Linked DNA regions of Callithrix jacchus. The protein of the gene in region 5 interacts with the protein of the main gene of each other region in a biochemical or structural test. Links are inferred from orthologs where the notes say so. Each region holds a gene or a part of one and is shown on either strand. Other genes may lie near its edges. The genes, in order: IKBKB, USP4, TAB1, NOD2, MAP3K7 and USP29.

The links.
Region 1: of the proteins of MAP3K7 (region 5) and IKBKB, one has a biochemical effect on the other in vitro, tested with the Homo sapiens proteins (5 studies listed by BioGRID). The link is inferred for Callithrix jacchus from reciprocal best matches to the Homo sapiens genes MAP3K7 and IKBKB.
Region 2: of the proteins of MAP3K7 (region 5) and USP4, one has a biochemical effect on the other in vitro, tested with the Homo sapiens proteins (2 studies listed by BioGRID). The link is inferred for Callithrix jacchus from reciprocal best matches to the Homo sapiens genes MAP3K7 and USP4.
Region 3: of the proteins of MAP3K7 (region 5) and TAB1, one has a biochemical effect on the other in vitro, tested with the Homo sapiens proteins (4 studies listed by BioGRID and IntAct). The link is inferred for Callithrix jacchus from reciprocal best matches to the Homo sapiens genes MAP3K7 and TAB1.
Region 4: the proteins of MAP3K7 (region 5) and NOD2 form a complex in vitro, tested with the Homo sapiens proteins (2 studies listed by BioGRID). The link is inferred for Callithrix jacchus from reciprocal best matches to the Homo sapiens genes MAP3K7 and NOD2.
Region 6: the proteins of MAP3K7 (region 5) and USP29 form a complex in vitro, tested with the Homo sapiens proteins (2 studies listed by BioGRID). The link is inferred for Callithrix jacchus from reciprocal best matches to the Homo sapiens genes MAP3K7 and USP29.

Annotation. Positions count from the first base shown.
Region 1 is NC_133514.1:44,139,496-44,143,504, reverse strand, and holds the start of IKBKB (inhibitor of nuclear factor kappa-B kinase subunit beta), read left to right. Parts: upstream 1-1,209; 5' UTR 1,210-1,376; intron 1,377-1,470; exon of another isoform or gene 1,471-1,664; intron 1,665-2,014; 5' UTR 2,015-2,032; coding exon 2,033-2,137; intron 2,138-4,009.
Region 2 is NC_133516.1:31,939,775-31,943,834, reverse strand, and holds the start of USP4 (ubiquitin carboxyl-terminal hydrolase 4), read left to right. Parts: upstream 1-1,260; 5' UTR 1,261-1,289; coding exon 1,290-1,390; intron 1,391-4,060.
Region 3 is NC_133502.1:210,212,656-210,216,155, reverse strand, and holds part of TAB1 (TGF-beta-activated kinase 1 and MAP3K7-binding protein 1), read right to left. Parts: intron 2,210-3,500; coding exon 2,073-2,209; intron 1,692-2,072; coding exon 1,538-1,691; intron 404-1,537; coding exon 317-403; intron 1-316. UniProt on the Homo sapiens protein: Key adapter protein that plays an essential role in JNK and NF-kappa-B activation and proinflammatory cytokines production in response to stimulation with TLRs and cytokines.
Region 4 is NC_133521.1:8,618,532-8,622,556, reverse strand, and holds the start of NOD2 (nucleotide-binding oligomerization domain-containing protein 2), read right to left. Parts: upstream 2,801-4,025; 5' UTR 2,738-2,800; intron 1-2,737. UniProt on the Homo sapiens protein: Pattern recognition receptor (PRR) that detects bacterial peptidoglycan fragments and other danger signals and plays an important role in gastrointestinal immunity.
Region 5 is NC_133505.1:96,646,175-96,649,674, forward strand, and holds part of MAP3K7 (mitogen-activated protein kinase kinase kinase 7), read right to left. Parts: intron 771-3,500; coding exon 646-770; intron 1-645. UniProt on the Homo sapiens protein: Serine/threonine kinase which acts as an essential component of the MAP kinase signal transduction pathway. Plays an important role in the cascades of cellular responses evoked by changes in the environment.
Region 6 is NC_133523.1:49,865,579-49,869,299, reverse strand, and holds the end of USP29 (ubiquitin carboxyl-terminal hydrolase 29), read right to left. Parts: coding exon 1,100-3,721; 3' UTR 501-1,099; downstream 1-500.

The DNA.
Region 1 (4,009 bases), on a different chromosome or scaffold from region 5:
AGTTGCTAGGGTTTGAGTTTCAGCTCCTCTACGTAGCAGCCCTATGATTTTACCATAAAGGGTTTTCCTCTCTGTGCCTCGGTTTTCTCATTGGCAAAATGGAAATAATAATAATGCAGACCAGGCGCGGAGGCTCACGCATGTAATCCCAACACTTTGGGAGGCACGGGTGGGTGGATTCCTTAAGTCCAGGAGTTCGAGACCAGCCTGGGCAACACGATGAGTAAGACCCCACCAGGTATAGGAGCTGTGCACCTGTAGTCCCAGCTACTCAGGAGAATCACTTGAGCCCAGGAGTTGGAGGCTGCAGTGAGCTGTGATGACACCACTGCACTCCAGCCTGGGTGACAGAGCGAGACCCTGTCTCAATAATAATAATAATAATAATAATGATGCAGTATTGTCCAATTTATAGGGTTCCCCTGAGGATTGAATAAGGAAATCTGAGTACAGAGATTAAGAACAGCGCCCCGCACTGTGAAAGCACCCTATAGATGGGAGTTACTATTATCATCTTCAGATTCCTTTGATACTTTTTTCCTGCTTGAATAAAATCCAGTAACACGCACACACACCCCTCCTTTGTCCACTAATGTAATCCCATAAAACGGAGAAACTCAGTAGTGAGGGCATTCTGACTCCAAGCAGGAAAGAGATGAACGATGAACCTCAGGCTGAGCGCCTCGCGGTTTCCCGGCGTCACCGGGACTGAGGCTGCAGTTTGGCCTCACACTGCTGGGTCTCCTTTTCTTAAGGGCTAGACGGGGCTGTCACCTCTCAGGAGTCAGCTGTGATTGATCCTTCTCAGCTACAGGGGAGCGCCCGTAGGAGGGCAGGCGGCAATGGCAATTCTCACAAGCAGTCCCTAAAACATCCCAGCCGGGCGCGGGAAATTCCAACGAGGTGGAAGCCTAGGGGGCAGGGTGAGGAAATCCCCAGGCCGGGCCCAGAAACCGCTCCAGGTGGAAGTCACTTGTCCAAAGAGAACAGGGCGTAACGGGGGTCATTTCAGGGCTGTTCTTTTACATCGGTGAGCACAGTCTCCTTTTCCCTAGGGGTTTCTAGAGGCCACACGCGCCCCCACACCCCGCCCCCGGGGAGTCGCCTGGAGGTCTCGGGGAACGCCCAGCTAGCCCGGGGCGCTCGCAGCATCCGGACCTGGTCCGCCCCGCGCGGCCCCTTTAAGAGCGGCCACGGCCCACGTGCTCCGTGACATCAGAGCAGGAAGTGTTTGAGGAAGTCGAGCCACGCTGCCTGGGTTAAGAGTCTCGCATTTTAATGTTTTTAGGGGGCGTCAGAGCCCCGGGTTTGGCCGCCCCAGCCCCGCCTCCCCAGCCCCGGAGATCCCGCCCCCTGCCCCGCGTCCCCGCCGACAGGTGAGTCCCCCCGGCGGGCGCGGCCCAGGTGCCACCTGCAGGCCCCGCCGCCCTGCCTGGGCGCGCTCCCCACCGCCCCGCTCCCATCAGGCCCGGAAGACCCCTCTGTGCCGCTCGGAAGTCGCAGCTTGCGGACGGGGGAGCGTTTCACTTGTGGGGGATGAAGTTTGGGAAGCCGGGAGAAACAGCTCTGGCAGGGGTGGCTCCTTGGGGGTGGGTGGCTTTGAGAGAAACCCGCGATTTATGGGGATGTTATAAAGACACACGTGACCGAGGGGACGCTCAGAAGTAGGTTCTGTCCCTGCTAGCTCGGGCAGAAGGTGGGCAGGCCCGGGGGCCCCTGGTGGAGTCAGTTAGGGATTCCCTCGCTAGAGCAAGGGCGTGGGCATCGCCTCCCTAGGTGGCTTGCTTTCTTGCTTGCTGCCACAGCAACCGGGATGGGGGAGGGTAAGAGGGACAAAAGTTTGCCACAAAGTTTGGACAAACCAAACACATTGTAAATGGTAAAAAGCCAGTGTATTTTTTTTCTCTTCTATACAAGAGCAGTGATATCTCTTGCCTTCTCCAGCCCTTTGAGCTCCTTTTTTTTTTTTTTTCTTAATCCTAACCTTTTATCCCCCACCCCAAATTGCTTACAGAGTTAGCACGACATCAGTATGAGCTGGTCACCTTCCCTGACAACCCAGACGTGTGGGACCTGGGAAATGAAAGAGCGCCTTGGGACAGGGGGATTTGGAAATGTCATCCGATGGCACAATCAGGTAGGCCCTCCTCTGTGCAGCCTCGGGAGGGGCGGGGAACCAGGCTTCCTCCTCATTGCCTATACCTTCTCTGTTCCTAATGGGACAAGGACTCGCTTTTGGCCTTGGTCATCTTGGGACAGTGAGTAGGGGGACTGGGAAGAGGGCTTCAGAACTTCTGAGCTGACTCTAGGATAGTGGTCTCCAAGTTTTATCGACTATGTCACCTAAATAGCAAAAAAAAAAAAAAAAAAAGTTAAGCTCTTAGTCTGTATTATACATATCTATGGTAACAGTGGAATATCATGTACTAATATATACTGATATTATATGTTATAAAACATACAGAAATAGGAAAATTTAAAGGATGAGAGTAAATAAATAGTTTTAAATATTTTAATGGCTTGAGACCAGGAGTTCAAGACCTCCAGCCTGAGCAACATAGCAAGACCTCATCTCTACGAAGTTTTAAAAATTAGGCAGCCATGGTGCATACCTGTAATCCCAGTTGGAGGCTGATGTGGGAGGATTGTTTGCCCAGGAGTTTGAGCCTGTAGTGACCTATGATTGTGCCACTGCACTCTAGCCTGGGCAACAGAGTGAGACCTTGTCTCAAAACAATTTTTAAAAAATTATTTAAAAGGCTGGGCATGGTGGCACACCCCTGTAATCCCAGCACTTTGGGAGGCTGAGGCTGGTGGATCACTTGAGGTGAGGAGTTCAGACCAGCCTGGCTAACATGGTGAAACTCCATGTTTACTAAAAATACAAAATTAGCTGGGCATGGTGGCATGCACCTGTAATTCTGGCTACTCGAAGGTGGAGTCAGGAGAATCACTTGAAGGAGGCAGAGGTTGCAGTGAGCTGAGATAGTGCCATTGCATTCCAGCCTGGGCGACAGAATGAGACCCTGTCTCAAAAAAAAAATTTTTCTTTGAAATATTTGCTGACTATGATGTCTTCCAGTATTTCTTGCAATACTGCACAGCACAAAATAAGCAGATCCACATGAAAGTGAGAATTTCATTTAGAATGATGATGAAAATCCGTATTTCAAATAATTAAAATTTTTTTTTTAATTTTGTAGAGAGATGGGGGTCTTGCTATGTTACCCAGGTTGGTTTCAAACTCCCATCCTCAAGCAGTCTTCCCGCCTTTTCCTCCCAAAATGTTAGGATTACAGGCCTGAGCCTCACGGCACCTGGCCTTAGCTGAGGTTTTTAAAAATTTTTTGTAGTGATGGGGGTCTAACAATGTTGTCCAGCTAGTCTAGAACTCCTGTCCTCAAGTGATCTTTTTGCCTTGTCCTCTCAAAGTGCCAGGATTATAGGCATGAGTTGTACCTGGCCTGTTTTTAATTTTTAATTGACACATAATTGTACATATTTATGGGGCACAGTACAATGTGATATTTTGATGCATATATAATGTATAATGATCAAGTCGGGGTAATTGGCATATTCATCACTTGAAACATCCTTTCTTTTTGTTGGAAACTGTCAAAATTCTTCTGGGTATTTTGAAATATACAATTATTCTTTTTTGTTTTTTGGAGACAGTTTTGCTCTGTTGCCCAGGCTGGAATTCAGTGGTGCGATCTCGGCTCACTGCAACTTCTGCCTCTTGAGTTAAAGCAATTCTCTGCGTCAGCCTCCTGAGTACCTGGGATTACAGTCCCACACCACCATGCCCAGCTAATTTTTATATTTTAGTAGAGATGGGTTTTCACCATGTTGGCCAGGCTGGTCTCAAACTCCTGACCTCAGGTGATCTGCCCACCTTGGCTGCCCAAAGTGCTGGGATTATAGGCATGAGCCACTGTGCCTGGCCTGAAATATACAATGAATTTTTATTCACTGCAGTCACCCTGTTGTTCTATAGAATACTAGAATT
Region 2 (4,060 bases), on a different chromosome or scaffold from region 5:
CCTCAACCACAAGGGCTCAAGCGATCCTCCCACCTCACCCTCCGGAGTAGCTGGGACCACAGATGCACGCCACTGCCCGGCTAATTTTTGTATTTTTTGTAGAGACGGGATTTCGCCATGTTGCCGAGGTTGGTTTCGAATTCCTGGGCTCAAGCATTTCTCCCGCCTCAGCCTCCCAAAGTGCTGGGATTACAGGCTTGAACCACTGCACCCGGCCTGGTTCTCCCCCTTTAATGGCACTTACCACATACTGCTAGGCACTGAGGTTATTTCCGAAACATCTCTTCTCTACTAGGTTGTATGAGGACAGGAACCAGATCTTACTTTTCTCTGAGGGCAAGAACTGTTAAGAGAGTGAATGGAGACTCATCTAGGCCAACTGTCTGACTTCCTCTTTCCTCTGGATTTATTTCTCCCTCCAGGAGGAGGGCTGTGTGTTTGTGTGAGCGGGTCCCCTGGCAAACAGTGTTCAGGACAGGTTTTATCTATCTTGTTCAAGGAACTAAGATGCTTGAGTACCCAATATGGAGTATCTCTCCTTCCCTCCTTGCTATCGCCCCTCTGCGGCTGCTTGGCAAGTAGCTCTGTATGAAGAGCTGACGGAATTCTGTGGTGGGCGAGGTGGCTCTGGCGTCTAGATTGTTTAAGGCGACTGTTAATCACTACAGAACACCGTTGCGTCTTGGTCCCAAGGCGCTGTGCACAGGGCACTTCCCGAAATCACTGTAGGGCCGCTGGGTAGAGCTCCGATCCCATGTTTGGGTAGCTGACTCGGCTAAGGTCTCCAGCTGAAAACGGAATGGCAGGGGTGAGAATGAGCAGACCTAGCAACGGGGCTTCTCGCACCTGGCGTGCGTTTATTTAGGACCAGGATAACCTCGAAGGCCGGGCTGAGGTGCCGGACTGGTCGTGGGCTTGCTGTCTGACTCCCTGAGATCGGCGGGCTGGACAGAGCTTGGGAGTGTAACGCCGTCCTGAGCGGAGGAAGGGAAGCCCCACGGCTGCACAGCGGGCGGCCAAGACGCGGCCAGCAGTGCGGGAGGAAGTAAAGGCTGCTGCTCCCCGCCTGCCCCTCTCCCGTCTGCCTTTCCGCGCCACTGTTAGCAGCAGAGGAAGACGGCGTGAGAGGGGAGGAGGGAAAAAAAGACAACAGCCGCAGGAACCGCAGGCCTGGGCGCGACGTGAGGCACGGGCGTGCGTGCGTGCGTACGTGCGTGCGTGGGCGCGGTCTATAGCACGCCCGGCGTGGGACGGATGTCCGGGCCGGCTGGGCCGGGGCCGCGGACGAGATGGCGGAAGGTGGAGGATGTGGTGAGCGACCGGATGCGGAGACTCAAAAGTCCGAGCTTGGAGCCTTAATGAGGACCACACTCCAACGCGGGGCGCAGTGGTGAGCACCGGCTCACCTGTGCGGAGCTAGGGGCTGAGTGTCAGGCCCTTAGGCCAGCCCCCCTTTTCTCGGCTAGAGTAGGGATCGGGCGGGGATGGTGTTTAGTGGCCCTGAAAGAGTAGCCTGACACCCGCCCCTCAGGAGAACTCCAGGATCAGCTCTGCGAGAGCGCAGGCGAGAGCTCGGGGTCTTGTCTGCTCTTTGGGAGCCCCAGGGGGCAGGCCTGGCGGGGCCAAGGGGAAGGATCTGGAGAAGGGGAGTGTTGGCGGGCCCCTGAGAGTGGGAAGAGCCCTTTACCATCGAGGACTCGCCGTGTGACCTTGTGCGAAGGTGTCACAGACCTTATTCCTCCCTGTTAGAACCAGGATAACAATATTTGGCTCACTGCCCTCAGTGGGTTGAGACGACTATCAGAAGTAGATACTTTGTAACTTGTAAACTGCCAACAGATGTCAAGGTCAGAAGCTGAACAAGTGTCTGAGAACCCCAGCTTATTTTGGTAGCAAATGTCAGAAACATTTGTGGCAGCAGTATCTCGGAGTGGGAGAGGAGGATAGCCTAGGTCCTGGAGCTAGACAGAAGATAAGAGTCTAGAATTTAGAAAACCAAGGCTGAGTTGTGAGCAGTCTTAATAGATTGTTTGGTAGAGGGGACAATACTTTATACTACTGGAGAGATTCCTGGGTGATATTATTGCGTGGGAGTAGAAAACTAGGGCTAGACTTTGCAATGAGTATGATTGTTACCTATCTTTAAGAAACCATCTGCAGAGGAATTGAGCGGGAGAATAGAAAAATTGGGTTTAGGAGGAGTACAGATACAGCTTATGTATTCACCTTGAGCTAGCCAGTTTGTGAAAGGCAGAGCAATCAGAGGTACTTTTTAAATTAACCTCTATAGGGCTGGTAAAGGTACTTTTTAAGTTAACCTCTATAGGGCTCCTCAGCAGAAACAGGACGTTTAAGATACACTAAAATCACACAGTAAAATTGTGTGGAAGATATTGCTCAAGCGATTTGGAAGAAAAATAGCATTTTAGAGTTGGATGTATTTATGGATCCTTGTGACCTCTGGGAAGCTGCCTGACTTCACATGTTTGTTATAAAATTTGAAGGTTGCACCAATATAATTGTTGATGCTTTGTTGCCCCACAGAGATTTTTCCCTCTTTCTGTTTTAATTGTAAAACCGCATAACGATACTTTAAACATATAAACAAGTCTTGTGCAGTGGCTCATGCCTGTAATCCCAGTACTTTGGGAGGCTGAGGTGGGAGGATCACTTGAGGCCAGGAGTTCAAGACCAGCCTGGGCAACATAGCAAGACCTAGTCTCTACAAAATAAAAATAAAAAATAAATTAGCTGGGTGTGGTGGTATGTGCCTGTAGTCACAGCTACTCAGAGGCTAAGGCAGGAGGATCACTTGAGCCCAGGAGTTTGAAGCTACGGAGAGCTATGATTATGCCACTGCACGCTAGCCTGGGTGACCCTCTCTCTAAGGAAATAAATAGATAGATAGATAGATAGTTAGGTAGATAGATAGATAGATAGATAGATAAAATACCAGATTTGCTTACATTTAAGTACAAAAGTGGTAAGTTGAATATGAAGCACAACTTAATGCTTTTGACAAGATGAACATGCCTAAGCACTATTATATGTACATGTGTATGTGTATATATATGTACACACGTTACATACTTTTTTTTTTGAGACAGTGTTTTATTACTGGAGTGCAGTGGTGTGATCTCAGCTCACTGCAGCTTCTGTCTTCCAGGTTCAAGTGATTCTTGTGCCTCAGCCTCCTAAGCAGCTGGGACTACAGGCATGCGCCACCATGCCCAGCTAATTTTTGTATTTTTAGTAGAGACGGGGTTTTGCCATGTTGCCCAGGCTGATCTTGAACTCCTGAGCTCAAGTGGTTCACCCTCCTCAGCCTCCCAAAGTGCTGGGATTACAAGTGTGAGCCACCACGCCTGGCCTTGTGTGTACATTTTTGGATCTCATTTGGCCCTTAAGGGAAGACTAACGTGGGTGGTGTTTCTTTCTTTTTTTTTTTTTGAGACAGAGTCTCGCTCTGTCGCCAGGCTGGAATGCAGTGGCGCGATCTTGGTTCACTGCAACCTCCACCTCCCTGGTTCAAGCGATTCTCTTGCCTTAGCCTCCTGAGTGGCTGGGACTACAGGTGCACCCTATCACGCCCGGCAAATTTTTGTATTTTTAGTAGATACGGGGTTTTACCATGTTGGCCAGGATGGTCTTGATCTCTTGACCTTGTGATCTGCCCACTTCAGCCTCCCAAAGTGCTGGGATTACAGGTGTGAGCCACTGCACCCAGCCTAGTTGTTTAGTGTTGTTTATGTCAAGCAAAACAGTATAACCAAACTGTCTGCTTGGACAGGGACCTCTATACAGATTATGAAATTAATGACTTGTTTATTAACAAACATGATTTTACCCATAGAAAGACTCCATTTAGGCTGGGCGCAGTGGCTCATGCCTGTAATCCCAGCACTTTGGGATGCCAAGGCAGGAGGATCACTGAGGTCAGGAGTTTGAGACTAGCTTGGCCAACATGGTGAAACCCCATCTCTACTAAAAATACAAAAAAATTAGCTGGGCATGGTGGCACATGCCCGGAATCCCAGCTACTTGGGAGGCTGAGGCAAGA
Region 3 (3,500 bases), on a different chromosome or scaffold from region 5:
GCGCTACAGATGCCAGTGGGCGGGCGATGTGAGCAGGTGGGTGACAAGGGTGGGGACCCATTCAGGTCAAAGGACTGCGAAAAGCTTTCCTCATGCCCACCACTGCCCAGCCAATGCTGAGCTTTAGTGTGCAGCTGCCCATAGCAGGGTGGTAAGGTCCCTCACCTGTGGCCACCCACCAGTGTTCCCCATGAGAAACTGCTCCCTAACTCCTGCTGCTCTGGCCCAGTAATGTCAAGACAAAGTAGCTAAGTCCATGCTTCTTGCAAAGCTGGGCCTGGACTTGACTCCCCTGGGTGTGGGCTGGGGAAATTACCTCTGGCAGTTGCGACTGGAGGCTTGCCTTCTCAGCCAAGGCATCGTCAATGGACTCCAGGAAGCTCCTCTCTACCACATCGAAGGCCTGGAGGGACACAGGACAGGGCAAAGACTGGTTCAAAACACCACTGTCACTGGTGCTAAAATGCCCCCTATGAAGAACAGCAACAGCTTCACTGTATTCACTGCAGGTCCTCCTGTGATGGGGCTTTCCGCATGTCGGTTTTGCCTCCAGCCCGGCACTGCAAGGCACTGGCTGCTTCTTGCAGATCCGTGTCTTTGACAAAGCCCTTCAGCCCCATAGGGGTGCGTAGCCAACAGAGGCGGCACTCAGAGGGCTTGGAGGCAGCAGACAGTGCGGAGGCTAAGAGCAAAGGCTTGGAGTAGGCCCAGCTGGTGTGACCTCTGGACACCTCAGTCTCACACAACAGAGGTTAAGTGTTGTTCCGAGGGTAAGTCCAGCCTGGCACTCAGCATGGCACCTGCTCAGAGAAACTGCCAGGACTATGACAGCTCCCATGATTACTACGACTTCTTCCTGGGAGGCTTCTGTCAAACTCTGCTGGCCCTGGGACACTGGTGACACTGACAACTCCCCCTGGGTGTGAGATCTGCTGACAATCACTGGCCATGGAGCCTGAGGCCATGAAGGGGAGGAAAAGGCTGGCACCACTGTTCTCTGGGAACAGAAGCCCATCTTCTCATCTAAAATGGGCCTGAGACATGCTCCTGAAAGGAGATGCCAGGAGGAAAATTCCCAACAGTGCAAGCAGAAAGGTGGAACCAGCGAATGATGGCAGCACCCCATCAAAAAGGGGAGGCAAGGTCTTCCCTGAATGCCCAGATATGCTTCCTGCACCTGGAGGCTGAGCACCTGGCTACATGAGAAAGAAATGGGTAGCTCCGAATGACCCCATTCCGACCAGGCCTTGCCCTGCTCCTACTTGACACCTCTCTCCATGCTCACATCCCTAAATCCCCCCGTCTCCAGCAGTACCTCCCCTGTCAGCTCTGCTAGCCACTGAAGGCCTGCTGCTTGCTGGCTGGTCCTGGACTCCTAGAGAAGGGGCCCCTATGCCGGGAGCTGCTTCTCTATCACGGTGAAGGGGCCGGCAGGATCTTTACACCAACCCTGGCAACGTGCTAGACGTGCAGGGCCCAGGCCCTGGGGGTGGGGGACACGATGGAGCCAGGTTACTGCCAGCCCCAGCACCATTACCTGCAGCAGCACGCGCCGCACGTCGGCCTCAGCATGCTCAACATTCAGCTGGCCCAGGAGGAGCTCCGCGGACAGCCGCTGGGCCACGAAGTTGGTCACCCGGTTGCCATCGTAGCCGTTGAAGACCCCATACAGGAAGCAGTTGTTCTCACTCCTGGCAGTGGGAGAGGGCAGAGGGAGGACTAAGACCAGGGTCTCACACGGAGGTGGAAGGAGAAAGGGAAAGGAATTGGGGGAGGCTAAAGCTACAGCGGCTGCAGCTTCAGGCACCGACCTGGGTCCCCCTGCTTTGGGCATCATTTCACTCTGGTGGCTATGACCTTCTGGGATACCCTCCTCCCCATGCTCACACTACCCCATCAGAGGAAACCCTTGGCTGGTCTAAAGTCCAGCAGTATAAAGGGCAGCAGCAGAGGCCACCTCCCACAGGCCACATCTCACTGGCAAGCTCATATGAGAAAGCTGCAAAGTCAATGTCTTTCCTTGCAAACTCACCAACTCCCTGGGTCCAGGACCAAAATGCTGGCACACACACCTGAACTTGAGCCAGCTGTCCTCTGGCGGGTGGCTCTCAGTGCCCTTGCCATCAGCAGAGTAGCTTCGGTTGGAGGCTGAGCCAACCCCAGAGAGGTGGCAGAGCGGAAGGTCGTCTGTCCAGCTTGGCTGCTGCTCCTGGGGAAGGACACCAGGAAGCCGTGAGGCACCACTGCTTCTGCAGCGTAGATCCCACTTCATCTTTTTCTTCTGCAACAAAAACCTAGCAGGCCGGCAGCCCTACACAGAGGGTTCCACTTCCCTTGGGAAAACAAAGATGTTTGTATGAACAGACACCTGCAGAAGGGTTTGCTGTTTTTATGGCTAGTCTACAAACTAGTTCCCCAGGAAAACGGAAAGACTCCAGCATTCCAAAGGCAAGGTGCAGCAATGGCCTCCAGGAGTGAGCTGTTATGAAACCTAGTGAAACACATACAAAGGTCTCAAACTCTTGACAGGAAACTCTTTGGGGCCTGCACCTCTTACTGCACTGGCTCCAAATGCACACTGCAAAGGAATCCCTTGGGCACTGGTTGAAACTGCAGGCTGCAGGCCCCACCCTCAGAATGACTGATCTGGGCAGGACCCAGGACATCTGAAGTACAGGCCGCTCCCCACGAGTGATGCTTTCAGGTGACCTAAGACTCACCCTAGAGAAACTCTGACTTGTCACTCTCTCTGACACTGGGGCCTCCAAGTGCCAGGGAGAGTGACTGAGACTGGCTTATAAGTCGGAGTTTATGAGCTAGTTTGTAAGACATCCTCAGGCCACCCCGACATCCCCTCCCATCTCCCCTGCCACATCCTTCTCCCCCAGTCCCAAATGCCTGCAGGCCTGTCCATCCCCTGCTCTTTGCCTCCACGTGAACACCCTCCTCCTTGCCTCACAATTCTCCAGGTCCTTCGGGACTCTCTGGCTCAGGAGTCACCACCTCCAGGTGGTCTTCCTTCAGGATGACCCTCCCCAGGACTGGCTGATGGCCCTCTCATGTACCCCGACTGTACCCTGATTACAGCACCCTAGTCTGTTTGCAACACCCACTCCACCGTAGAGGATCTCAAACCAGGCTGTTCAGCATAATCAATGCACAGCTTTAAACACACTCACAGGGTCCAGGCCCCGACCCCGGCCCAAACACAAATGCTGAATTTCCCAATCTCCCTACGGTACACCCTGAGCATCTGTATTTTTTTAAGGCCCAGGAACAACTTTGATGCAAGGCCCAGGTGCCATTTCTTGCCCTAGATCTGGCCTCCCACCTGAGAAGTGTGCCCTGTTTACAAGGGCACTCCCAAGACCATCATGCGGAACTAGAGCAAACTGGAATAACTGGGAGAACCACAGCAATTTCAAGGAAGATAAAATTTGTATTGGCTGGGTGCAGTGGCTCACACCTGCAACCCCGGCACTTTGGGAAGCTGAGGAGGG
Region 4 (4,025 bases), on a different chromosome or scaffold from region 5:
CCCGCATGGGCTCTCCCCAAACCCCAGGCCCAGGCCTGAGCCCAGACACCTCCTTCCTTCCTGAGACCTTAGCCAGCCTGGTTTTTCTGGGGCCAAGAGCAAATGCTTGGCTTAAGTGCTGAAATCTCAGCCCACTGACCCCTTGCAGACAGAAAAGGAGGGGAAACTCAAGGAAGCTCAACTTCCCAAGCCTTCTGGGACTCTGCTGGGGCCAAGCCCCACACCCTCCCACAGCCATCCTCCATTCTCCCTCCCCAGCACTGAGCTTCTCTCCTTAAAAGACCAGTTCCCCCACCAGTGAACAATGCACTCTAATCCTCCATTGTAAAAGTAAGGCCCTCTCTTGACGCCCCTCTTCTTCATTTGGCTCCAATCCCATTTCTCTGCCTCCTTTATAGCAGGCCCCCTTGTCTGTGCCTGCACTGCTGTCCCCAAATCCTCCCATCCCTTCTCATCCCCCAAGTTCCCCATCCAGCTCCAGTCAGACTGTTTTGATCATGGTCACCAGTGACCTCCCATTGCTCAATCCTAAGCCCTCAGCCTGCTTGCTCTGCCAGGGGCATTGGTCATAATTGCTCCACCAGGGGCATTGGTCATAATTGCTCCCTCCTTCCCCCTTGGGGCACCCCAACTCTCTCATTTTCACTCTTTCTGTCTTCCTGGCTGGTTCCTAACACCGGGGGCCCCAGCGCTCAATGGCTGGACCCCTTCTCTTCTCCATAGTGCTCCCTTCCTAGATGAAGCCACCTGCTCTTGCGGCTTTAAATACCAGCTATAGGGTGACGATGCCCACAGTTTCATTTCCAACTCCAACCTCCGCCCTTAACTTTTCCCAACTGCTTAATCATCGTTGGTGCCTAATGGACAGCTCACACGACAAGCACAAAACCAAACTCCTGATCTCCCCCGTCGCAACTCCCATTGCAGTTCACGGCAGCTTCAAACCTCCAGAAGCTTGAGCCAAAAACTCAGAATCATCCTTGATTCTACCTTTCTCTTGCACCCCAAATCCTATTGACATAGCCTTTGAAATATATCCCAAATCTGAAGGTCTGGGGTTTTTTTCTATTTTTTTTAACCACCTGTGGGCCATGGTGTAAGCCACTTTGGTCTCTCCCCGGAACAATGTACTGATCCTCTCACCAGGCTCTCCTTTTGCCCTTAGTCCACCCATCACTATCCATTCTCCACCCCACAGCTGGATGGGCCTGCCAGACCCCAAGTCAGAGCAGGTGACTTCTCAGCTCCAAACCAGGGCTCCCACCGCGCTCAGAGTAAAAGCCAAAGCCCCCCCACCCGCCCGCACAGATACTCACAAGGCTCGCCCTTGCCTCCTGATGACTGCCCAGCTGTCGTGGTCTTGGGGAAGCCTTCCCTAACTGTGCTATATACAATGCAATACCCAGCCCCAGCACCCCATCCTGCTTCCCCGCTTTGTTTTACTCGTAGCACTTCCCACTGCCTGCCATGCCACAGATTTACCTCTTTCATTGCTGTCCATTCCTTTCCAGAATGTGCACTCCATGAGGGCAGGGAGTTTAATCTGATTTCCCCATTGCTCAGTCTCACATCTCATTCAGTGCATGAATGATGACTGCTGGAATGGGTGAAAGAATGGATGTGCTCTGCATGGCTCCAGGAGACAGATGTGGAACCAAGTGCAAAATCTGTAAGCCACAGATTTTAGGTAAAGGAAACAAGAGCCGTAAGACACTGAAAAGCCACCTCATCAGTAATAAGCTCCCCACCACCAGGCATGTGTTGCAGAGGGCTTCTGAACTGGGTTGGAGGGAGGTGGGCTGGATGAGGATGCTTCCAGCCTTGATCCCAGGGTGCAGAGAGGCAGAGGGACCTTGCGAGGCCAAATTCAAGGGCTGCAGCAACCCCATGGCTGAGTGATTGGGACAGGCAAGTACAGGCAGTGAGGATGTCACTCTGGTCTTCTTCACTAAGGGGTTGGGGAGGGTGACAGGGCAGGCGATCCCCCTCTGTAGAACAAGGACCTTGGAGGAGGCCAAGTCACAGCCCATGGGAAAACCAAGGCCATGGCAAGAAGCCCAAGGGCTCAGAAAAAGCAAACTTGGAAGCGGGGGTCCAGCCTCCAACCCTCATGCAGCTTCAGGAGGCCCTCCGCAGGGCTATTGGGTGGAGGGCTTTTCAGTTCATTGGAATGTAAGCAGGACCAGACAGCTGCTCCGTCAACTTGAGAAGCAGAGAGCAAACAGCCGGGGGATGTGGCCACACAGGTCCTGGTGTGGGCTATCTGGGGAGGGATGGATTTGAACTTAGATCTCACACCCACCAAGGGAGAAGGAGGAGGCAGGAGATTCCCCTAAGAAGTGCAGACAGCAGCAGTAGGATCCTCCGGGCAGACCCTCTCACACCACTCACTGGCATGGTGAAGATGAGGAAACTGAGTCCCACAGAGAGGAAAGAACTCAAAAGAATGGCGCCCTCAGAGACCTGAAGCCCGGGCTCCTCAGGACTTTCCACTCCTGCCAGGAGCCTCCCCAACCTGGAGATGTCCCCTTTCCTTCTCATGTCCCATCTACACCCGGGACTCCCCCAGGAGAAACCGAGGCAACCCTTCTCCAAGCCCTGCAGCCAAGACTGCTAGACTGCTCGGACGGACGCCAAGTGTTCGAGTCCTGGGGGCGGCACCATGGACACCCACAGTCTTCCCGCAGCCCACCCCCAGGCGCTAGGCACAGGCCTCGCGCCAGGAAACAGCACTCACCGCGAGCCGCCGGCGCCCGGACTCCCAGGCCTGCTGTGGGCCACGACTCCGGGCTCCACCTCCGGCTTGGGCTGCGCCTCCGTCTGCGCGGGCGTTCGGCTCCACCCCCGCCTGGACCCCGCCCCTGCTCTGCCCGGACGGCCGCACCCGCTCCAGTCCCAGGCCACGCAGCCCCGAGAGCGCCCACTCCAGGGCTGGCGAGGCTCACAGGGGACAGGGAGGGAGGGCGCAGGAAAGGGGCCGGGCCTGTCTGCGGGGCTGGACGGTCCTGGCTGGGTGCCCTGGTCAGCAGGCCTCCCTTTCTGGGCCTCATTTCAACCAGGAGGGAACCGGACAGTCCTCAGAACAACCCGCTTCCCAACACACACACCACGCACACACTGCTTCCCAACACACATATACACACACACCGCTTCCAACACACACACACACACACACCCCGCTTCCCAACACACACACACACACACACCCCGCTTCCCAACACACACCACACACACACTGCTTCCCAACACACACACCACGCACACACTGCTTCCAACACACACACACACACACACTGCTTCCCAACACACATATACACACACACCGCTTCCAACACACACACACACACACACCCCGCTTCCCAACACACACACACACACACACACCCCGCTTCCCAACACACACCACACACACACTGCTTCCCAACACACACACCACGCACACACTGCTTCCCAACACACACACCATGCACACACTGCTTCCCAACACACATATACACACACACCGCTTCCAACACACACACACACACACACACCCCACTTCCCAACACACACCACACACACACTGCTTCCCAACACACACCACACACACACTGCTTCCCAACACACATATACACACACACCGCTTCCAACACACACACACACACACCCCGCTTCCCAACACACACACACACACACACCCCGCTTCCCAACACACACCACACACACACTGCTTCCCAACACACACACCACGCACACACTGCTTCCCAACACACACACCATGCACACACTGCTTCCCAACACACATATACACACACACCGCTTCCAACACACACACACACACACACACCCCACTTCCCAACACACACCACACACACACTGCTTCCCAACACACACCACACACACACTGCTTCCCAACACACATATACACACACACCGCTTCCAACACACACACACACACACACACCCCACTTCCCAACACACACCACACACACACTGCTTCCCAACACACACACCACGCACACACTGCTTCCCAACACACACACCAC
Region 5 (3,500 bases):
TTAACATTGAACTCATAGCCAACATTGCTATCACTCATGCCTAAATGAAGATAATCTAACACATGTATAGCGTCTGTTAAGACACATCATAGCCTTCTTATACTTAGGCAGTACTACGCTTGAGGGCCATTTTAAATAGCAAAATTACCAACAAAAATCACAAAAATGAAAAAGGTAGGGCTCTAAACAGTACAAAAAGGACAGCTGTTTATAGCATGAGACCTGAAACAAGATGGAAGAGCATTATCTTGTTTAACCTCAGCTAGAAACATGTGTTAGATGACTCAAAATTACACTGTCTGCGAATAATCATGAAAGCACTGTCTGCAAATAACCATGAAAGCACTGTGAGTATTAATTCTGGGGTTACAAATAAAGGTTAGCAAATAGGCAATTTTGCAATTATGAAATTGGTGAATAATGAGGATCAACTGTACATATGCTTGAACCTGCACAGAAGATTTACATCTTACTATAAAATTTAGGACATAACACTATTTAATACCTCCTTAGACTTCATTGTATACTTTAAAATGATGTATTATGCAGAAATAAAACCCAGGAATGGGGAAAATCTATAAACACATATTGAATTCACAAGGAATGAGAGAGATTATCAAACATACCATACTTTTGCCATTTTACCTTCAAAAACTTCAGGTGCCATCCAAGCAGCACTCCCCTTGTTATTGGTCATGTGTGTCTGAATGTCACAGGCTGTACCAAAATCACAAATTTTTAGAACTGTCCCCCCTGCAACCAGCAGTAAGCTGTTTTAAAAAAACAAAAATATCAAAAATTGTTAAGGCCAAACATTAAAAAAAATTCTACAATAAAAGAAGAGACATTTGTGGAAATGGAAAAGATTAAGCAAAATGAATGTTATCATTCAACTTTGTGAAATGATCAACTTACTTGGTCACTATAAAAGCCTAACAGTTTGGAGTAATATAAGCAGAAATTAATTGGCCATAACCTAGCTCTCTTTGGAAGGCTGCCAGACTCACATTTTGATGTCTTCATGTCTAGCTCCATAATCTTTCCTGACCATACTTCTCTCTGGCCAAAATAAAATGTGGGGTTTAAAAGACTTCTAGTAGGTCAACATTATGGTGTCCTGAAATGGGAGTTTAATCATAAATATGTATTACTTAAAAAAATAGTAACACTAGGTAATTTAATTAAAGAAAATAGGCTAATATAGAAGGAAAAAAATGGTCCTTAATTTAAATCTCTATTTTGATACTTCTAAAAATGTTCAATCTCAAAACAATTTTTATGTTTAGAATATGTATGTGTGGGAGGAATAAAAATCTCTTACAGCTAAATAACCTAATGAAAGATTTCTGGAAAATTTTCTGAACTTAAGATTCTGACTTTCCTAGGTGCACTATTAATCAACCACAATCACCAAGTAGCATACACTTACAAGATTTTGCTTTTCATGACAAACAGAAATAGCAATGGCCATTTCTATTCACATAGAACGTGCAAATATAATTTCCACAATCACACTGTAGTAGTATCCAGTAGCAATACATAGGAATTCATTTTAATTCTAAGTTTTAAAAACTTTTTATATCTGAAGAGGTTATTTAGAAATTTCTTCTCTTTTAGTCCAGTGTGACTAAAATAAGTCAGATAAACTACTACTCACAGTTCCATAATACCAAAAAGACTCATAATCATTCCAGTGAAAAGAATGCTAAATCCAGTTTACCTTTGTAGGTAGTTCAACAAAAAAAAATTTTACCCCCATCTCAATGTTTTGTTCAAACTCTTATACTTTTTACCCAAGAAAATGATAAGAACTCTGTAACTGGTTTCCTTGTTTTATACTGGTATATTCAAGATATCAAGGCCGGGTGCGGTGGCTCACGCTTGTAATCCCAGCACTTTGAAAGGCTGAAGTCAGGCGTTCAAGACCAGCCTGACCAACATGGTGAAACCCTGTCTCTAAAAAAAAAAAGAAAAAAAAAAGAAGTCAAGATAATTTCTGATAATTCAAGATAATTTTCCTGAATGATTTTTATGTTAGTACTCCTTTATTTGACTTCAAAAGTTCACCAGCCTTGAACATGAAATTCAGGGCTCACTGAAATCTGAACTTAAAGTATCTTTGTAGGCTTACTTTCACACAGTTAAGACTAAAAACATTAATTTCTAATGTACATGTGAGTAAACTTGTAAAAGATAAAATATGGGCACAAGCACAACTTGATAGTATATAAAACATCTCCCTAGATCATCAGGTACCTTCCTTAGATCCATTCTGAGGAACTCTTCCTGACCACAGAATCTGTAGGTTTTCCACTGACGCTAAGGTTTTCCACTGACAATAAGCAGGTATTCATGTATACCCAATTGTATGCAAAAACATAGTCATTCCAACGAATTTTCTTTTCCTCAGTGCTTTCTGAATTGAAATCAATTCTGATTCTAAAGTCCAACTTGTATACCAGGGGCTTTAAAGACAATTTGCAAGATGAATCTAATAATGGAGAGGCCTGGAATAAATGACCTAGACCAGACCTTCTATAAATATGTTAATTGTATTTACTAGCAAAAGGAGAATCTCTATCTATAAATGATTTTAGAAGGATATATCTGGTTGAACTAGGTTGATTAAACAAACATAAAATTTATGGGGTAGAAGATTGGGGATAGTAGTTAAGCTGTGTAATTAGTGCAATGTAAAAGATGTTAGAAAATGGAAATGACTTCCTTTCGTAAGCTATTTCTCCATATACTGTTTAATAACTAATCATTTATTCCAAAGCCAAAACACCTAGTAATGAGGAGAAAAAAGATACTTTTGGGAGTTGCATCAGATGTGTTCAAGCTCTTTTGGGAAAAGAATGCTTTGGCTGTACCTGATGCTTGCCTATAACCTTTGGATTATTTGGCAGTTTGTTCTGGTTAAGAGCTGTGATTCTCTTGAGTCTCCTTTAATAATTCAACTCTGTTAATACAGTGGGAAATGGACGACTGAATATTCATAACCAGGAAAAAAGGCTAAGTGATTTCTTCATTAGTTACGGCAGGTAACTAAGATAATAGCCTCAGGAAAAGTAAAAGCTTAATCATTATTTTATCAGTGACCTGGGGAAATAGAAATCAGTTTAAGCTTAGGAGTAGAGATAAGATACACTAGCAAGAACAGTGATTTTAAGAGTTGGAACCTATGTAGAGTATATCAGATTAGACCTGAGAGTGACAAGTTATACCCAGAAGGGATGTTTTAATGCTTTAAGCCAGTATCAAGACAATGAAATAACTGAAGACTGTACTGATTTCCTAAGGGAAACCTCTTCTGTAAAGACTAATGTGCTGGGGTGGGAGCTTGGGGGAGAGTAAAGAAGGTATGTGGAGACTATTTTTACTCTGTCACAGGTGCATAAAAGAAAAAAAGAGAGAAAAGTAAACAATGTGTTTTATGTGTATGTTTTCGTTAACCAAATACCTATATATAAAAAAACCCCAAAGTTTTAGTCCTTTAA
Region 6 (3,721 bases), on a different chromosome or scaffold from region 5:
ATCCTCCCTTCCTTTTTTTTTTTTTTTTAAACAGGGTCTTTGTCACCCAGGCTGGAGTGCAGTAGTGCAATCATAGCTCACTGCAGCCTTGAACTCCAGGCTCAAGTGGTCCTCCCACCTCAGCTTCCTGAGTAGCTGAGACGTGCCTGGCTAAGTTATTTTGGTGGAGACAGGGTCTTGCTATATTGCCAGGCTGGTTTTGAACTCCTCTGTTCAGGCAGTCCTCCCATCCTGGCCTCCCAAAACGCTGGGATTACAGGTGTGAGCCGATGCCCAGCAGGTAGACGATGCTTTTTTGTCTCACCATCCCCCTGAAGATACACTGCAGCACTAAGTTCCTCCTCATAAATGCTCTGGACAGGTCCCCCCAGTGTTTAGTGCTTCTTTCTTTGGAATCCCAACCGGCCCGCTCTCAGAAGGGCTTTGGGCCTGCATTTGTTGGAATTTCTCTGCTGGAATTTCTCTAGGTTCAGCGGGACGAAATAAAGAAAGGCAAAGCATTCAGTGAAAATCATTTATATGACATAAACAATTCATATCAACAGGATAAAAATACACCAAGACCCTCCACGCGTTAACAGTGTTCTTCAAACTTTCAGGAGCCCTTGAGTCTCCATCAGATTGCTAAGCCACACCTCCTGTTTCTGCGCCAGTGGGTCTGGAGGGGACCCAAGAATCTGCATTTCTAATCGGTCCCTAGCTGCTGCTGTTGCTGGTTGAAGAACATTTTGAAAGCCATCGTGTCGGCCAGGCGTGGTGGCTCACGCCTGTAATCCAAGCACTTTGGAGGCCAAGGTGGGCGAATCACCTGAGGTCGGGAGTTCAAGACCAGCCTGACCAACATGGTGAAACCCTGTCTTTTTTTTTTTTTTTTAAAAAAAAGAGAACGATCATGTCAAAACATGAAAAGCATCATTCTAATCTTGTAGGGAACATATGCATATGGGCCTGAGTTCTGGGATCTAGATAAATTCCCCCAAAATAAGTGTTTTTCATTGAGCTTTCACCCTGAGATACTTGTTCCTTCATTCTGGATTCTCCTTGCGTGGAGGAAGTGAGACCCAGTGAGTCGTTAAGCAGGTCTGTATAAAGAGTCATCTTACTGCCCCTGAGGAATCACCTCTGCCTGCGCGCTAAGCAGCCGAGAGTTCTCTGCCTTTCTTAGCAGCTCCTCAAAAATCCCACTGTGCATGTAAAAGAAGATATATCCAGAGTGGAGCCTCGCCTCCTGCATTTCGGTCTCTGAGATTTCTGATACACACAGATCATTGTACGTGAACCAGGCCTGCTTCTGAAAGTCATATGCATCGCTGATGTAATGGCCTGAATTTGGGGAGCTCCCAATATGGCTGACAACACTGATGAGTCTGTAGGCCTGGAGGGGATCCCCCACCTTCGTGTTCCTCGTCAGTTCCTGGACTTTGTCTCTTGCGTTCTCTGTATCTAAAATGTCTTTGTCTCCTGGGTTATCAGAACCAAATGCCCCCAGGTGATTCAGGTCAGCCTTCTGAAGTCTGGCTTCTGTAGGTAGACTGAGGGTCTCCTCTGTATGTTCCTGGGCATCTGGCTTCCGAACACCTGGAGGTGGTGCCTGCTGAAGAAGTTCCTCTATGATGCTCTTCTCGATACACTGCTGGAGCTGTTCAGACATCCTTGGAGATCCTTCTGGAATCCTGTTTTCCTTACACTCATAAGAGCTATCGGTAGACTCAGTGACGCTGTCAAAATGTAACTCTACAAATGTGTTGGTGTTCTCACACTTCTCAAGGTCTGGATGTTGAGGCATCTCTTGAAGGTGGAAGTCGAGAAGCCTTGTGTCCGGGCTGCTGATTGGCTCACCGCCATCTTCACAGATCACAGGAAGAGAAAGGTCTCCCTGATCCATCAGTGAGTCAGCCACTGGACACTTCTTTTCACCGGATGCCGTATCTCCAAAGTTGACCAATTTTGACTCTAGCGTGGAGCCATTTTCCAGGTCTCTCTGACGGTGCTCTTGGCTGGCTTCCCCACAGCCTCTCTGGAATCTTTGAAGGTCAGAATTCTTGTCTGGTTCCATGGGTAGAACCAGGGAGTCACTGGATTCCGAGGTGAGCTTCATTGATGCTGTTAATGGGCTGGTGCTCTCAGAGACCATCTCCCGAGAGACGTCCAGGACTTCGCCTTTCCCCAAAGGTGCGTTACTGCTCAAGGGAAGAGGTTGTTTGGTGCCCTCGTAGCAGTAAGAAGATAAGCTTAAATATTTGGGGATATAAACTTGCTCATTATTCTTCGCCAGCAACCAAGCGTCGTTGAAGCTGTAGCGCTTCAGATGAACGATGAGGACCCTGGAGAGCCGGCTGAGCGTGTGCATCGCAACACAACTCTTGCGCTTACACATCTCACAGTTATATTCAAGCTCTTCTTCTCTGAAGAAAAGATCTAAAGAATCCTGAATGGACGTAGGAAGCGCTTTTGTCTCTTGGTGCAGGTTGATGGAGAGGTAATTATTAGGTTCTACCTTGAGAACAGCATGACCACAGGCTTTGCAGATAATGGAGAGTTGCAATTCAAACTCAAAATTAGCAACAACGGGACAAACAAAGACTCTGGTGGCAGCGTGAGCAACATGCAGTTGCGGAGAGGAGTTTCCGTCCCCACGGCCTCTCCCGGTCTTCAGAATGGCGTTTAAGTTCTCCATGTCCTCTTTCAGCTGGTCTAAACATTGACCTAAGAACTCATGAGCGTCATTCTGCAGGTCGCCAGAAAATATTTCTGCGACGGCCGAAATGACTTTTTTCACGTTCCCAAGTAATTCTTTCTTGATCTCCGTACTGCAGAAATCTTTCAAAGCAAGCAGCTGGGTCAAGGTCATAAGAAGAGCCTCAAAGGGAATATATTCCCACGGGACATCTTGAGTGAGTAAGTCATCAGCGAAAGACGGAATCGCAAACAGCGACTGTAAAATTGCGTTCATGTAACAGGTGTTTCCCAGGTTGGGGAAGCCTTGCTGCGGTTGCTCTGAGAGAGGGTCAGGAGGCACCTGGGCTTCGTGGCATCTTGGGTCATCCCGGCTGTGCTCGGGTTCTAATGGAAATGTCAAACCATGTTCAGCCTCGAGAGTCTGGATTGCAAGAAGAGTCTCATCTAGGTCAGGATTTCCACTGGAGTTGAATGGAGGCCCAGGTTCCAAACTTCTCCCTTTTTCCGAGTCCTCTAAACTCGATGGATCATTCCCATAGCTTTGTGTATACTTCAAGGGATCTGTCTTATATTTCTCATTTGATCCAAGGTTATGTTCCTTCAGAATGTGCTCGTTCATGTCTAGGTCAGATGACAGTGTGTCTTTCCTCTTCCCACCTTGACTTTCTACTAATCCCTTTTTCACACATGCTGGTGATTTTGACATAAACAAAGGCATCTTCTGAGGGAAAGGTGTCTTGCCTCCTTTTCCATAACCTGGCTTGTAACAAATGTAAAATGAAGTTCTGTCAATCTCCTTCGGCACGTCCCTACTTTCCAACACGCTCCAGTCGTCGTCAGGTTTCGTGGGTTGTTGAAATTTGTTTTGATGGATTATGTCCAGGAACGTATTCAACTGTTTAGCGTCTTTGTAGGATAATTTGTCAATAAACAGGAACACGTTGTTTTTCAGAGTTAAACGCAGGTGACTTTTCCTTTTTTTACGACGGATGAGGACCACACTTCTAATGTTATTACTCAGCTGAAAAATTCTTGTGAGTTT